2 linked regions of the Lepisosteus oculatus genome follow. The protein of the gene in region 2 interacts with the protein of the main gene of each other region in a pairwise test. Links are inferred from orthologs where the notes say so. Each region holds a gene or a part of one and is shown on either strand. Other genes may lie near its edges. The genes, in order: pex26 and pex6.

Region 1 (8,111 bases), on a different chromosome or scaffold from region 2:
CCTCCACATTTAACACATTAAAAATTTTTTTCACTTTTCAATAACACAATAAATTAAACATTTATGAATCTTTTTTTTTTAATTCAAGAACATTCATTTCTCCAGAATGAAAGACTTACATTTCTCATTAACAAAAGTATTTAGCCCCACCCCCAGTCAATACTTTGTACATAGTCCTTTAGCAGCAATTACAGCCATGAGTCTTCTCGGGATTGTCTGTATGAGCTTTGCACATTTAAATTGTGGTATTTTTGCCCATTCTTCAATGCAAATTTGCTCCAACTCTGCCAAATTAGATGGAGAGCATCTGTGGAAAGAAATGTTCAGGTCTCACCACAGAATTTCAATTGGATTCACCTCTGGGCTCTAGCTGGGCCATTCCAGAATACTAACCTTCTTTTTTTCAAACCATTCCTTGATAGTTTTTGCCATGTGCTTTGGGTCATTGTCCTGCTGGAAAATGAATCTTCAACCTAAACGCAGATCTCTGGCTGACTGAAACAGGTTCTCCTCAAGGATTTGCCTGTATTTGGCTCCATCCATGTTGCCCTTGATGGCAACAAGCTTTCCAGTTCCTCCTGCTAAAAAGCAACCCCAGAGCATGATGCTGCCACCACCATGCTTGATGGTGTTACCTGGGTGTTCAGTTGTATTTGGTTTCTAGCAAACTCCAGGAGTGATTTAATGTTGGCCTTTCTCAGAAGTGGCTTCCTTCTAGCCAATCTCCCAAAGAGGCCAAATCTGTGAAGTGCTGAAGAGATTGTTGATGTCTGGACAGTTTCTCCCATTTAAGCCAAAGAGCTCTGCAACTCTGTCAGTGTTGTAGCTGGCCTCTTGGTCACTTCTCTGACAATTGGCCTTCTTGTCCGGTTGCTCAATTTGGTAGGACGGCCTGATCTTAGTAGTGTCTAGGTTGTGCCATGTTTTTTCCATTTTGTTACACTGGACTTCACGGTGCTCCTAGGAAGGCTCAAAGCTTTGCCAATCTTTTAATAACCTTCTCCAGTTTTTTTCCTCCTTACAACTTCTTCTCGAAGTTCCACGGGCAGTGCACCATCGTCACACCCCCGTTCGTCCACCTGCCCAGTTCCTCTCCGTCTCCTCCCCGTGTCTGTTGCACTCCCTTCCGGATTCTATCGTCTGCATAGGGTCCTGATCTACTCTTCGTGACATTTAGTGTGATATCTCTCAAGGTGGTTGAATACCTCACCCAATTTAGGTTGTTAAAACAAAGGGGGTGAATACTTATCAATTAAGAAATTTTCAGATTTTTATTTTTAATATAATTTTGAAGACGTCTAAATACTTCATTTCATTTTAACATTTTAGAGGAAAAAAATCCCATTTAAATATGTTTTAATTTGACTTTGCAACACAGTAGAACAAGAAATCATCAATGGGGGTGAATACTTTTTGAAGGCACTGTAAACTACTTAATTTTATTAATCAATACCCAGATTTCCTTGTCAATCTCATTATTGGCCCCCAAAACATATTGCACTATTATGAGTACACAACACGCCCTTGTTTGTCTTTGGCTGTAGCGGTACCTTGATGTGTCCTCCTGCTCAGGGACACTCCCCATGCTGTCCAAACCTCTCTCGCATGAATCCAGCGCTGCTCGAAAATCCCGCTGCACCATCAGCTGCTCGGCGGCGGTCTCCAGCAGGCTGAGCGCCTGAGCCGAGCCCTGGGACAGCAGCGGGCTGCTGCCGAGTCGCACCGAGCCCAGGCCCCTCACATGGGCCAGAGAGGTGGAGGAGCTGCTCCGCATCCTTGCAGAGAAACAGAAAATATTCACTTTCCACAGCAGCGCAAGGACTGCGTCTTCTGTTAAGATACAATGCAACAGCATGCAGATTTGTGTTCACTGTCATAATTCCTTCAGCAAATCCTATAGTGCCTTCAGCAAGTCACCCACAATGGCTACATGGACATACAGTTTTCATTGTATTTGGCATACTGCACTACTTGGACATAATGTATTGCATACACCCTGGACACATAGCAACTCTATTTATATTGAGTTTATCTTATTGAATTTCTATTGCACTATTATCTATCATTATGTAACCTTATTTTGCAACTTTAATTCTGTGATTTTTATCTCTCCCAGTGAGCTCGTAGAAAAGACATTCCATTGCCAGCAACTACTGCTGCACACTGTGTTGTTGTGCATTTGATAAATAAACTTTGATTGATAACTTCAAATAAGAATGAAAGCACTTATTCATCTATCCATCCATTTTCTAACCGCTTTATCCAGTTCAGGGTCTCGGGGGATCCGAAGCCTATCGCGGGAAGCAACTAGCACAGGGCAGGATACACCCTGGACAGAACTCCCATCCAACACCACAGACACAGGCCCCCAGCGCTGCAAACTAGCAATGCCAACTACTGCACCATCATGCCACCATAAGTAATCATTTATTCTGCAAATAGGCATGCATGTACATGTGTACTGCATATCAATCCACTATGAAGTTACTAATCACTCTGAATACAATACTCACTTGTTTCACTTAAGAAGTGAAAAACCCGATCTGGATACTAATGTTAAGTAATTCAGTATGTAAAGGCATAAAAGTATGTAAAGGCATAAAAAAACAACGAAAATCTTTGCGAATATGCATTCGATTAAGAATTTATTTTTAAATTGCAGATGTTAATCGAAAAGTGTCAGGAGGTTTTATCTCCGTAAAAAGCATTACAAATAATTCACTCCATATAGTACGTTTTATATTTATTCTGAGTAAATAACCATCTAACATTTTCTCCACCGTTTGCAGAACTGTACGACAAAAGTTATTTGAGTTTTTATTGATCTTTTTGAACCATCAATCCATTAACACTAACATCATTTTAAAGAGATCATTTTTAAAGAGACTTTTACTTACTATACTCTTCACATTTACTATATAATATACCAACCTTTCACGCACTCACAGCACGTTTAATCCTGTTTCGCAGAAAACTGACTTTCACTATTTAAAATTGAGCAGGTAACATTAATGTATTTTACCACATCGAAACGCAAGAGGAAAAGAAAGCAAAAAAAAGATATTGTGTTGATTTAGAAATCTGCGTCTAAAAAATCAAAACCTTATTACACTTTTTTCCACATCAAAGTTAAAACTGATCAGCTACACAGCGGACATACTTGGAGCGGATGTCAACAACGCAATGAACTGTGGGAATCATAGTTTTTACTGTTAGAATGCACTCATTGGAGACCGCTAGAAAACTACACTTCCCATAATATATGTTTGTGGAGACTATAATAATAATAATAATAATTGCTTACACTTATATAGCGCTTTTCTGGACACTCCACTCAAAGCGCTTTACAGGTAATGGGGACTCCCCTCCACCACCACCAATGTGCAGCATCCACCTGGATGATGCGACGGCAGCCATAGTGCGCCAGAACGCTCACCACACATCAGCTATCAGTGGGGAGGAGAGCAGAGTAATGTAGCCAATTTGGCCAGGACACCGGGGTACACCCCTACTCTTTTCGAGAAGAGCCCTGGGATTTTTAATGACCACAGAGAGTCAGGACCTCGGTTTTACGTCTCATCCGAAGGACGGACTAATACTTATTTTTATAATTTTATAAAGCAGCAACTTACTAATATTTTATTTTTATAAGATTATAATTAATTTAATATAATACATAACAAATATATTATTGAATATAATATACTTTATATTTTATCTTTATAAATGTTTCTTATTTGTTTATTCTCTGGTATATGAAATATTACAGCAGGAGCTACCAGCTATTCTTCATACCTGCCAAGTATTGCAAAAGTATTCAGACCCCTAGATCAGATATTTTGTTTCTTTAAAGCTGGCAGTCACGACACCGTTGAAACAGCAATGAATAGTTATCACATGCACAGCCTATTCCACAGCACTGCATCTGTAGCAGCAGGAAGGTTAAGATGCTCTTGACTTTTGTAGCGTTTGTGTCCTCTATTCTTAACACATAGAGAGATAAACAGAAAAAAAAATTAAAAGTTAGCACAACCTATACTATTTGTGATATAACATGGAATCTAGAATAGTAGGAGATGGAGCGTGAGTAGGACACCAGCTATCTCAATCTGACACACTTGATTGTTATTTTTTTAACTGTTTGGGTTTTCTTATACATTTATTTTGTGAGCAACTGCAGTACTTACACAATCTGACCGATTTTTCTAGAGTTTTGTCACAAAAGCTATTCTTGATCTACTTCATGATTTCTGTTAATTCTAAATCGGAGCAAGACCTTAGACTATATGGACAGTGGATAATTTTAGTTTTTTTCAGTCTCCCATTCTCTTCCCTTTTCCCCTTCTCCCCCTCTACAATCAAAAGCTCAGTTTTTTTAATAACTGAATTATCCTGACTTCAATACATACACTTACAATTAATCTAAGTTAGGTTTTTCCTATCAGCTTTTGAGGATTTCCCTTGATAGACTTATTTTATAAATCAGGTGGGTAGCTGCGTCAGCATGCGTAGGCTGCAAAGGAACAAGTAATAGGTTTATTCCATGCTGAAAAAAAGAAGAAAGAGAACACAACGTTGAAACGTTGTGTTCTCTTTCTTCTTTTTTTCAGCATGGAATAAACCTATTACTTGTTATTTTATAAATATTCAATTATTCTACAGCTATTGCCTATGCATTTCCCCTGTTTTAACTGACAGCTCAGATGTTATGCCACTAAGACAGTGACATTAAAACAAAACGTTCTATTTTTTAAAGAGTGGTTTAATGTCTGAAATCATGTGTACACTTTAACATACTCTGTGACAGTTCAAGAACACTTCAGAACACAGCAGTGCAGGTTTTTAGGGCTAATTGTAATGATCTGTATTTAGTAACTTTGGGATAAAAATCTTCAGACTGCTTGCTATTTCCATCTGTATCCCATGGTCTGTCTTAGCATTTGCTCACTATTTTGTACAGTGTTAAGCAAATGTATATGAAATAGCCATCTTTTGTCTTACAGGCAATCTACTGCATTCCTATAGTGCTTCCTCTAAGAGCTACAGGTCAGGTGCAGCTGAAGTCTTTATTGGAGAATAAAAGTGTGTTGTTCAGATGACTGGCTTTAAATGAATTAAAAATACTATGTGAATGTTAAAAATTCCAAAATGAAAATGACAAAACTCCACTTAATTGCAGAAATAAATATAACTGATTAACTCAGTATTTTTTTGTTTTTGCTTGCCTGTAGTGATTCACTCAAGCACATAAATCTGTGTTGATATCAATTAATGTCTCTGTGGGAGTTTGAATATGACAGCTCTAGGCGTGGGAACAGATACAGACATTGGTCTTATACAATTGTAGATAGAACTTTTAATCAGATTATGTGAACATTGGGGTAAGTATAAACCTACTCTGGATACTTTACTTGTGTGCTGTCATGTGTAATCTGCACATGATATACCGATTCTTTTCGTTCAAATACAGTGTCAAATCTCTGGAGTTGTCCTGTAATTATACTGTAATTAATCATTCGATCTTAAATTATATATTTTGTAGTTGTATTAATCAAGGCAATAATAACTCAAACATTTATATAAACATAAATCAGCCTCTTTGGCCAATTTAAACTACAGTGTATAGTTCAAAATATTTGTACATATGAAATCAAAATCTCTCAGCACTCAAGATTTGTTTTCTCTGTTGGGTTAATCAGTACTAGACAGTTTTTCTCTTGCAGGTGTGACAGTGGAACACAGCTCTTTCTGCACTCCGTACTCCGCGGCGCTAGGGAATGCACAGCTACTGTAACTACAGCACCTGAGGCTTAACAGGTTTGCTATTTAACATCCCCGCGAGCGCGCGGATGGGGTCCAAGCTCTGAACCAGCGTTGTAGCGAAGTGGTTACCGAAGTATAATTTTCCCTTTAGTGGAAAGACTTTTCGTTGTACAGTATATAGCGGAGAAGACGCCTTACGATACGACTATACACCAGCACACCGCTTGCTCCGTGGTTACGGAAACGAAGCGCTCTGCCGGTGTTCAGGCAGTCCACGCAAGCCCCTCACTATTAACGTTTGGCGCCAAATTACACTCCTGAGTGTCTGTGGCAAACAGCCTTCTGCTATCCAGGCCATTGTCCTTCTTAACGCACATTAATTTCCCCTGTTCTTGGCAGGGGGTGGATACTTTTGTAAGACACAATGTGCATTTCATTGTCGCATGTTAGCCAGAATCACGCTGTGTTCCAGCTCTGAGGATGTTATTGGAGATACCGGCTTAATAATGAGAGATACACACACAATGGAAGAAACGATAGTATTTTGAGCAGTAATGTTAGTGAGATTGACTTTAAGTTTCTGATTGACTCTGTGGTACTCGGAGCATGATGGCTTAATAAAATTACATCTTGAAGGAAAGCCCTTGTTCCCATTTGTAATGGTACAAAGCTCACAGTGAATCCAAATATGTGGATGTAAAAATAAAATAATGATTGTGCATTTGAAAAATCCTCCTCTGTAAAGATAGTAAGGACTTTGTGTAATAAGGAAATATATGAAGCCATCTTCCATCAAATATAAATTTTTTGACAGGTTTTATTTTGTTTACAAAACATGTCATGACTTGTGATTGTCATTGATTTTGATTTTTTAAAAGAAATCCTGCGATCCTTCCCTAGGCCTATTTAATGAAAAATATTTTCTCAGAATTCAGTGCCCAAATTCAGTCCACAGATACAGTATTTGAGGAATAAAAAAGGAGGTGGGGGCCTGTAGTGTCAGGCAGCTGTTTTCCATTGGGTGGCCTTCTCTCTCTCAACAAGCTGCGCGCACACAGGCAGCAGTTTGACCCTCAGACGTCTCTGATTAACTATGCGAGAGCAACTCGAGAAGACTGCTTCCTTTGTTTTTGGCCCAAAATAGGTTACTGTGGCGACTGTGCAGCACATAGTCCAAAAAACACAGCCTTGGAGTGTGAGTGCATGTTCTTCCTTGGAGCAATTCTGCAAACATGGAGGGGAATAAAAGTGAAGCTAAGTCAGGAGCTGAAACTGTTTACTTGAGGAAGAAGATTGACCTGCTGGGAGCTGTCTGTCTGATCATCGGCACTGTGGTGGGCAGTGGGATCTTCATTGCTCCCAAAGGTGTTCTCAAGAACAGTGGCAACGTGGGTTTGTCTCTGATCATCTGGGTGCTCTCTGGGATACTGTCCACCTTCGGTGAGTGGCGATACCAGCAGACTTTGTATGGTAGTTCTAGTCTAGTGTTCAGGTTGTTCTCCTTTGATTTAAATTATAAAAATAGTTGCAAAAATGTAGTTTTTTTTTTTGCTCTCTTGACTAATGAAAAATCATAAAAAGGTGGATTTAGCTACATGTTAAAGCATTGAACCATTATGTTATAAACACTATGCAAGAAAATTATCCTGTTGTTCACCTGTGGAACACCACCATTGTTCTGTGGGCTTCAACATGTTTAACATACTGTATAAATGGAAATCCTTAAGCAGTAAGGGTGCTGTTAACAAATTTAGCCAAGGTGACAAAAAATGGAACAATGATTTCACCTCTCATTCTGGCCATGAGATGTAAAAAGCTTGTATCAGAAACATAAAAGGTTTGTTAATTTTAACTATGCATATCCCTTCAAAACAGAAAAGGTATTTTTGTTATAATAATAATTGCTTACACTTATATAGCGCTTTTCTGGACACTCCACGCAAAGCACTTTACAAGTAATGGGGACTCCCCTCCACCACCACCGTGCAGCATCCACCTGGATGATGCAACAGCAGATATAGTGCGTCGGAACGCTCACCACACATCAGCTATCAGTGGGGAGGAGAGCAGAGTAATGTAGCCAATTTATAGAGGGGGATTATTAGGAGGCCATGATCAGTAAGGGCCATTGGGAAATTTGGCCAGGACACCGGGGTTACACCCCTACTCTTTTCGAGAAGCGCCCTGGGATTTTTAATGACCACAGAGAGTCAGGTCCTCGGTTTTACGTCTCATCTGAAGGACGGCGCCTGTTTTACAGTATAGTGTCACCTTCACTATACTGGGACATTAGGACCCACATGGACCGCAGGGTGAGCGCCCCCTGCTGTCCCCACTAACACCTCTTC
Region 2 (7,911 bases):
CACATAACTGAAGTGCTGGACGACTAAGACTGCATCACTAATGCTTCCAGTGCCCTTTGAGGAACTAGAAGTCCACTGTGCTACTGTGTTAACGTGTAGATGTTATACAGTATCTCTACTAATGATTCAGGTATTGATGGATGGGTAACTCCAAATGTTAACGAACAAAGATTCAGAATGTTTTTTTCATTTTTCATTCACAAACGGGAAAAGATGACACTAATGCCTTATATTTCAATTTTTTCTCAAATAACCTTTATAGATCCTTACTCAAAACTGCATGTAGGTCTGAAAGGCGATATGGGATGTGATATTTTAGCTGAATTTTTCCAACAAAAAGGTTATTGATGTATGGATATTGTTCCACGAAAAAAAAACAGAAAATGATTTCTGGGACATTAGCTACTATACTACCATTGCATTCCTGTACAATGTCTATTTACATTCAACATATATATCCAAAGACAATTCTCTCTTACCAAGTACAAGGATGTGTGTTCTGTATCAGCCAGATAACCAAAAGGGCTCATCTCTCCATTCTCTGTAGTAGTGCCACAAACCTTCTTCACCCTGAAATACAATACTGGCCAACTGCGAGATAACAAGACAACATAAAACAATTAGATAAAAAATAGGCATGAACAACTAGGATATTAGTTACAAGCATAACCAGATTTCTAGTGGGCATTTACCATGACAACTTTGCAAGACATTGTCACAATGCCTTTCTGTGCTAATACCATGAATTTGTTTTACCTGGTCACTGTTACATGTAATCTAAATTATGCTTTACTGTATCTCTCTGTTCTTCACCATGATTTCACTAAGCATGGACACACCTAGCATTTTCCAAGTCATATACCGCAGTAAACTTTTAGAATCAAGATGTTTAATATTGTGGAGACAAAGATAATTATTTTTCACAGACAGATTTAAACTGTTCTATATGCTTTAATATACAGCTGATTTTGCTTAAAGTTTCTGGGCTGAGAGATTACCTTGTAAATCCTTCAGTGTGACTCTCTAGGAATGCTGCATGTCCTTCAGTAGGAATGCTCAAAACATCCCCTAATTGCACCAGCCTGAAATGACAAAATATCAGCTGGAGTGAAATTTGATCAAGTTTTAAATGCAGTATGTACTGTATATAATATGCTGAAAAAAGAAGAAAGAAAACACAACGTTTCAGCCGTGGAGCACCATGGCCGAAACGTTGCGTTTTCTTTCTTCTCTTTTCAGCATGGAATAAACCTATTACTTGTTCCTTTGCAGCCTACACATGCTGATGCAGCTACCCACCTGAACATGTATATAATATGTAGTATATACGTGATACAATAATGATGATTCCTACTGTACATGGGACAAACCCTTCCTTGACACCAGTTACATTAAGGGTGTTCCTGCAGTTTTAAAATGGAGTGGGCCTATGACTATTCATATCTTTGAGACACTTGACTAACCTGGGTGTGCTAAAGTGTGCATAGAGAACACTATCAATACTGCCTTTGGAGCTGTAGTCAGGTGAAATGATGGCGTCAATGTGCAGTTCTCTGGCAAAGGGTAAAGATGCTGTGGAGGACCTGCTGTCTTTCAGCTGTCTCTCTTGTTGGGAAACCTGCTCATAGCATCTCTGCAGAAAAACAGGAGAAAAAGACTCACTTCAAATTATGGTACTTCTTACCACTCGCAAGGATTAGTTCAACCAGTCCCTTCTGTTCACTGAACTAGAGATATTCCCCAATATGTACACTCTAGCTCATAAAGTATTGCCAACATGGAGAAGCACAATTTCTCCCATATTTGAATAGTTTACGTTAGAAATGACGTGATCAACTTAATGTTTTAGAAAATGTTCCATCTACATCCTTCTCAAGTGGAATACAAGACACAGACCTCAGCACTCACCTTTATCTTGACAACTCTGCTGGCGATGGGCATTGGGGCCCCACCAGATAAGTTAAACCACAGAGAGGGCGAGACGAAGCCCACGTTTTCGTGAAACTCCAGGTCTTGAGATCTGGTGAATTCAGCAACAACAACTGCAGCGAGGTGCCCACCTCTGTGTGTCACGGCGTCTTTACTGCAGGCATGGTCCTCGGGTTTCTCAGGACAGTCACTCCTAACCGAAACCCTCATTTTGTCCGAAGAGAGGCTTAACGTGGACACAACAACCCATTCGTGGTTGAACAGACCCAGTTTAAGGAGTGAGTGTTTGCTCACAAAAATAGAAGCATCCACGTTGGTCCCCAAATCTGCCTTATCTTTTATTTTAATCCTCCCTTGCTTCAGCAGGCTGGACACATCCATTACTCTGACGTCAAATCTGCATTCCAATGCTTGCAGAAAATCAGAGAAGTCTGACTTAATGACTTTCTTCTTTTCTAACAGCGAACGCCCCCCAGAGAAGCTATTAGCGTAGTGTGCAAAATCAGAAGCATACAGGGATGTTAAAAGTCTAGTCGTCGACGCCTGGCTTGAGCCCTCTAAAGGGCCGTGATTCTGCGCCAAGTCTCTGCAGTCTGTGACCACCACAGTCGTGTTAACTGTTATGACTCCCTGCGTAACAGGTGTACACTCCAGGACAACCAGGTCTAAAAAATACTGATTAACCTGGGCGATATCGTCGCCAAAAAGTGGGTGGTAAGGCACTAACAACACGTCACCCTGCCTCGCCAAAACGTTTTGTTTCTGACAGGAGGCGAGTATGAGAAGTCCATTCGAGAACTTATCGGAATTTGCCCATTTAAAGCTCTGTCTGCTTTTTGCGCCAACCACTATTTTACTCAGGCCTATTGGAGACGCCAAACGCACCGTCACTTTTGCACCAGGCTGAAACCCGTAATGCCGAAAAAACAGTCTGCTTGTGTAAAGTTTTAGCAGTGTATCGCTGTTCACGAAGGTAGCAAACTCCGGAATGTCTTCCTCTGTCGTGACATGGGCACACAGAAACATGTCAGCTCTCGGAGGAGACTGCCGCCTCCGCGCACAAAGCAGCACACATGGTAATTCATTTCTACCTGGAAATATCTGATTGAACTGTGATTTTGCAAGCAGGACATGCAATTGATTATAATGAGACGGAAACGTATCCAAGCAAAACAACTCTGCCTGCGCTGCCATATTGTCGAATGCAGCACGAACTGATGAAATCAGGAAATCAAGCAGAGAGACGAGCTGTCGAACCTTTTGTCTTTCTTCGCTTCAACCATCAGAGGGCATCACACAACAAAATACAGTATTTCAAAGTCGTTACTTACGGATTGCGACGAAAATACAAATATTTAGGGACGCAATTATGCTGGACTGAAAAATCAATCACTGTGGACGATTTTACAGTACTTTTAATAAATTAAGATGTATTGTGGCGCACAGTTAATAGTATATGCATAGAATATCAGTGCTCTTTAATCGATATTCGCGTTTCAACTTCAACATTTGTGTTTCACCTGATAGATTGTTAGTCATATTTCTTGAAATATGAAAAAAACACGACAGACAAATGATAATACATTTAAACGTGATAACTCATTAAAAAAGAATAACCTGTTATTGGACGATACTATAAGTATAGAAATTGTAGCACATAATTACACGACATCTTTTTTTAATAAATGCAATTGTATTGTATATCTACAGCAAGCTTAATGAAAAATGCATTCCTACACTAACATGTACACAAAAGGTGTTTTAATATTGATGTATAATTGAATATATTTTGTTCTCCAAATGTTTTCTAGGCATGAATGTTATGTTCCCAATTCAAACGAAATAATACAACTAATAAAAAGTAATCTCAATATATTTTGAGTTCCTCCTGTATATCCTTTTCATTTCCTCTTTATATCGATGTTATAATTTCACACTGTGTCTTGATTTACACCTTTCACATTTCTGTTACCCAGAACGTCCGTGTTTTAAAAATAATAATCATAATTGCTTACACTTAAATAGAGCTTTTCTGGACACTCCACTCAAAGCACTTTACAGGTAATGGGGACTCCCCTCCACCACCAATGTGCAGCCCCACCTGGATGATGCGACGGCAGCCATAGTGCTCCAAACGCTCACCACACATCAGCTGTGGGGAGGAGAGCAGAGTAATGAAGCCAGTTCAGAGAGGGGGATTATTAGGAGGCCATGATTGGTAAGGGCCAATGGGAAATTTGGCCAGGACGCCGCGGTTACACCCCTGCTCCTTTCGAGAAACACCCTGGGATTTTTAATCACCACAGAGAGTCAGGACCTCGGTTTTAAGTCTCGTCCGAAGAACGGCGCCTGTTTACAGTATAGTGTCCCCGTCACTATACTGGGGCATTAGGACCCACATGGACCGCAGGGTGAGCGCCCCCCGCTGGCCCCACTATCACCTCTTTCAGCAGCAACCTTAGTTTTTCCAAGGAGGTTTCCCATCCAGGTACTGACCAGGCTCACACCTGCTGAGCTACAGTGGGTTTTAGAATGTTCAAAAGCAGCGTGTCCATTGTAGAGCGGAATAACAATATTATTGTTATTAATTATTATTATTATTATTATTTATCTAAATGTTTGGCAATGTTTAATTATTATTGCTTTGCTTTAGCAGCACAAATTCATCGGTCATGCCGTGCAAGCTCTTTGAATCTGGATCACTGTCAGGAGGCTTTTGGATTGGATTCTGCAGCCCTACACTGCACTGGCACAATGCGAGTGGGTTTACAGTCCATTCTTTAGCACCGTACTTGACATTAGAACCGCCGGGAACAGGCTAAATCGGGAGAATTACGCTCCTGTCGCGGAACTGAACCTGAAAGAGGAATTCCTGGGAACTGGCCTCACTGGGATGCTTTTCCCACGCGTGGCCCGCGGAGAGCAGACACCAGCTGCAGTGCATCCTCTGCGAGCAACAAGTGTTATTCAACCGGCATTTTCCCATCCATCCTCTCAGCCTCTTCTTTCAAGCCCTCTCTTCTTTTTTATATTATTTTCAGAACTCAAATCCCACAACACCCGCTGACATTTATTCTTAACACAAAGCCCTTCCTTCCCACCGAAGACAATGCCAGCCCCGCATATAGACTTGCATCTGGGAAGCGCTGATGAACAAACACCACTTTGTCTTTTGCGATCGTCGTGGGTGCCGGGATGGTGGAAATTATATACAGTACAATGCATTCTAGCAGGAAAAACATCCTTATGTTCAACATACTGTAGACCTCTTTTAGATAGAAGTATGCAACCATTCTTCTAAAACGTGAATTGTTTCTATTTTAAATTCAGCGCAATACGCAAGATTTCTCCTGCCGGTTTTACTGAGACAAACGTTGGTGCCTTAAAGCAATTGGCTTGTTAATTGCTAATCCATTGTGCTCTGCACGCGTGGGTTCGAATCCCATCCTCGTCGTCTTGAGCTTCATTGTCTTGATGCACTGTTTGCACTTTGTTTTGTTTTTTACACTTGTTTTACAAACGAGAGACTTTCTGTAAGTAAGAATTCCATTGTTCCAGTACCGGTTACATATGGCAATGAAGTTCAAGTTCAAGTTGTTACCTTTATTTGTATGACTCAGTTCCTAAGAAGAGAAAACGTACAATTGTGCACGAAATATGAATTTGATAAGAGTCGTTGGATTTGCTTATTCTTTATTCGCCTTTGAAATGAAATTAAAAATAGGCTATACACATCAAGCATGTATCAGAGATGTTAAAATCTACAAACCGGACTTTTTTTTTCCCATAGACGTTGTGCAGAAATGCATTCCGAAGAGTTTAAATATGATAAACCTTATTATTTTTTTCATAGAAGTACATATTCTACCACCTAAACGACACTCCAAAACACAACCTGCTAAATATTACAGGTCTGTTCAGAAGGTTCTGGGAGTGTGGAACAAGGTCCCCAGTCATTGTGAAGTCGATACTTATTTCAATTAACAGCTGGATGGGATACTCGAATCAATTAGCTACTAACGATAAAAAAAACATAACTATTCTCATGTTTTTTAACATTGTGAAAAAAAGATGACTTCCTCTTAAATTCTGCACTCTGTTTTATATGCTTATTTAATATATATTATTTATATGCAGTTATCTTGACACCGCAACTTTCTGCAATGGTAAATACGGTATTTCTTGTATGTTTACAATCCCGATTAAAAGTGTGAAACGAAGAGCCTTCTTTCGGAATCTGATCCTCTTTTTAGCCTGAACCGATCAAAGGGCAAGAGTTAACTTATGATGTTAACGAACGCAACTCGTTACTGCAGCCAGTGATCAATTCACAGATTAATATCCGCCTGCTAGGATAACCTACAGTATTTCAAAGCTGTTTAAGTGATGTGGTAGCGAACCTATCACAGTCAGCACCCTGCTATCCTACCCGAGTGAGTTCCCGAGGAGGCGGGTCGCTGCGGTTCTTTAAAGTTGAATAAGTTGGCGGCGCGGAGCGCAGTTCTGGGGAGTCTGGAGCCCGGAGCCTGGATAGAGATCCGTCAGGCAGGCGGGAGAGAGAGAGAGCAGGCGGAATTAAATTTTCAGTGGCCAGGGGCTAAACTTGAGCAGAATGACCTCCAAATGCCCCAGATGCGAAAAGCCTGTCTTTTTTGGTAAGACTTTGCCTTGTTTTCTCGGCGTGTTGCATGGATGAACACATACTGTACATTGTTAGGAAGAATGCAAGCAAACCAGCTGGTGTGGCTGAGTGTTATTGTTTTTAAGGTGGCGTGCAGGCAGTCCCACCACTTTAATGTGTTACTTTTGTTGCAGCGTTATAGTGATTACAAAACGGCACAAGCTGCGATCATGCTGTAATGTTTGGTTTCCTATTGTCTTAATTATACTTCTAAAATGAGAGGGCTGTGTGGCGTTATGGATTTATTTTCCTGTTTAAGTTTTTAAGCTATCCTTATCTGTATGTTTTAATTCAGTAGCCGAAGTAAATCAAATTTTTATTGCTTAAAGCTTTCTTCTCTAAGCACAATATCTCATCTGAAAATGTAATGTCATTATCTAATCCTAGTTGCTCAAGTCTTTTGTTTTCCATATAATTCATCTTAATGCTCTGACGTCCAAAACTTGTTGTTCATGGTTACCCTTTTAATCGAGCTCGACAGACGCGTATTAAACTAGACTTCCAGCTCTTATCTTTTAATTATTATGGATGTTTGTAAGTAATTGCCTTCAAATGTCCTCTCTGCAATGCGAGCTGTTGTACAGTATTGTGGAGACTACGCATGCCGTAGAAACACCAGATCTTCTACAGCGTGGGCTGTTTTCCTCTGTTGTAGCTGCAGAAGGATGTCGCAGAAATATGGCAAAAATAAATTAGTGAATCAATCGGTTTTTGCTGAACAAGCCTGTCGCTTGCTTTTTAACGTTAATACTGAGACAATTTAAACGGTTAGGCGTTACATACAGTAGTTGCAGCTTGTGTTTAACATAAGTAGCTTTTAGTGGAGGTTTGAGACAGACTGGTGTGCTGGCAGATTGTCAATGACAGTGGTCTATCGCGCCAGTGCGGTATCAGGTGCTGCTACGGACATAATCAAGCTATCTGATACAATAGAATGAAGGCTTGTAAACACCCTCCTAACTGCTATTAAAATAGGTCATAACAAATAAGTTATGTAACCGTTTGGCACATGCTGTGATGCTGGAGCTCCATCAATAGTCCGTTGTCACCGCAAAGGATGGCTGTTTTTGACAGGAAGCCATTCAGCTATGCCTTAATTGTGTAGGGAGAGTTGCAGAGTGCTCGCAGTGCTCATAGAAGCAAAAGACATGGACTGCCTGCCCGTTATTATTCAGGAAAAAGACACGGGGACATTGCCTTGTGCTGGAATAGGAATCCAGGGTCGTATGCTATGCACATACGTGAAAGACCCAAAGGTGAAGATGTAAAAGACATTAGAATTTGTTTTAAACTTTCTGTAA

Evidence for each region.
Region 1: the proteins of pex6 (region 2) and pex26 come close enough for resonance energy transfer, tested with the Homo sapiens proteins (2 studies listed by BioGRID). The link is inferred for Lepisosteus oculatus from reciprocal best matches to the Homo sapiens genes PEX6 and PEX26.

The regions. Positions count from the first base shown.
Region 1 is NC_090702.1:9,040,631-9,048,741, reverse strand, and holds the start of pex26 (peroxisome assembly protein 26), read right to left. Parts: upstream 3,166-8,111; 5' UTR 2,932-3,165; intron 1,776-2,931; 5' UTR 1,775-1,775; coding exon 1,551-1,774; intron 1-1,550. Other genes in the region: cystine/glutamate transporter, read left to right, coding at 6,996-7,203. UniProt on the Homo sapiens protein: Peroxisomal docking factor that anchors PEX1 and PEX6 to peroxisome membranes. PEX26 is therefore required for the formation of the PEX1-PEX6 AAA ATPase complex, a complex that mediates the extraction of the PEX5 receptor from peroxisomal membrane.
Region 2 is NC_090712.1:3,844,921-3,852,831, forward strand, and holds the start of pex6 (peroxisomal ATPase PEX6), read right to left. Parts: upstream 3,137-7,911; 5' UTR 3,124-3,136; coding exon 1,909-3,123; intron 1,634-1,908; coding exon 1,464-1,633; intron 1,083-1,463; coding exon 999-1,082; intron 592-998; coding exon 480-591; intron 1-479. Other genes in the region: crip3 (cysteine-rich protein 3), read left to right, coding at 6,542-6,584. UniProt on the Homo sapiens protein: Component of the PEX1-PEX6 AAA ATPase complex, a protein dislocase complex that mediates the ATP-dependent extraction of the PEX5 receptor from peroxisomal membranes, an essential step for PEX5 recycling.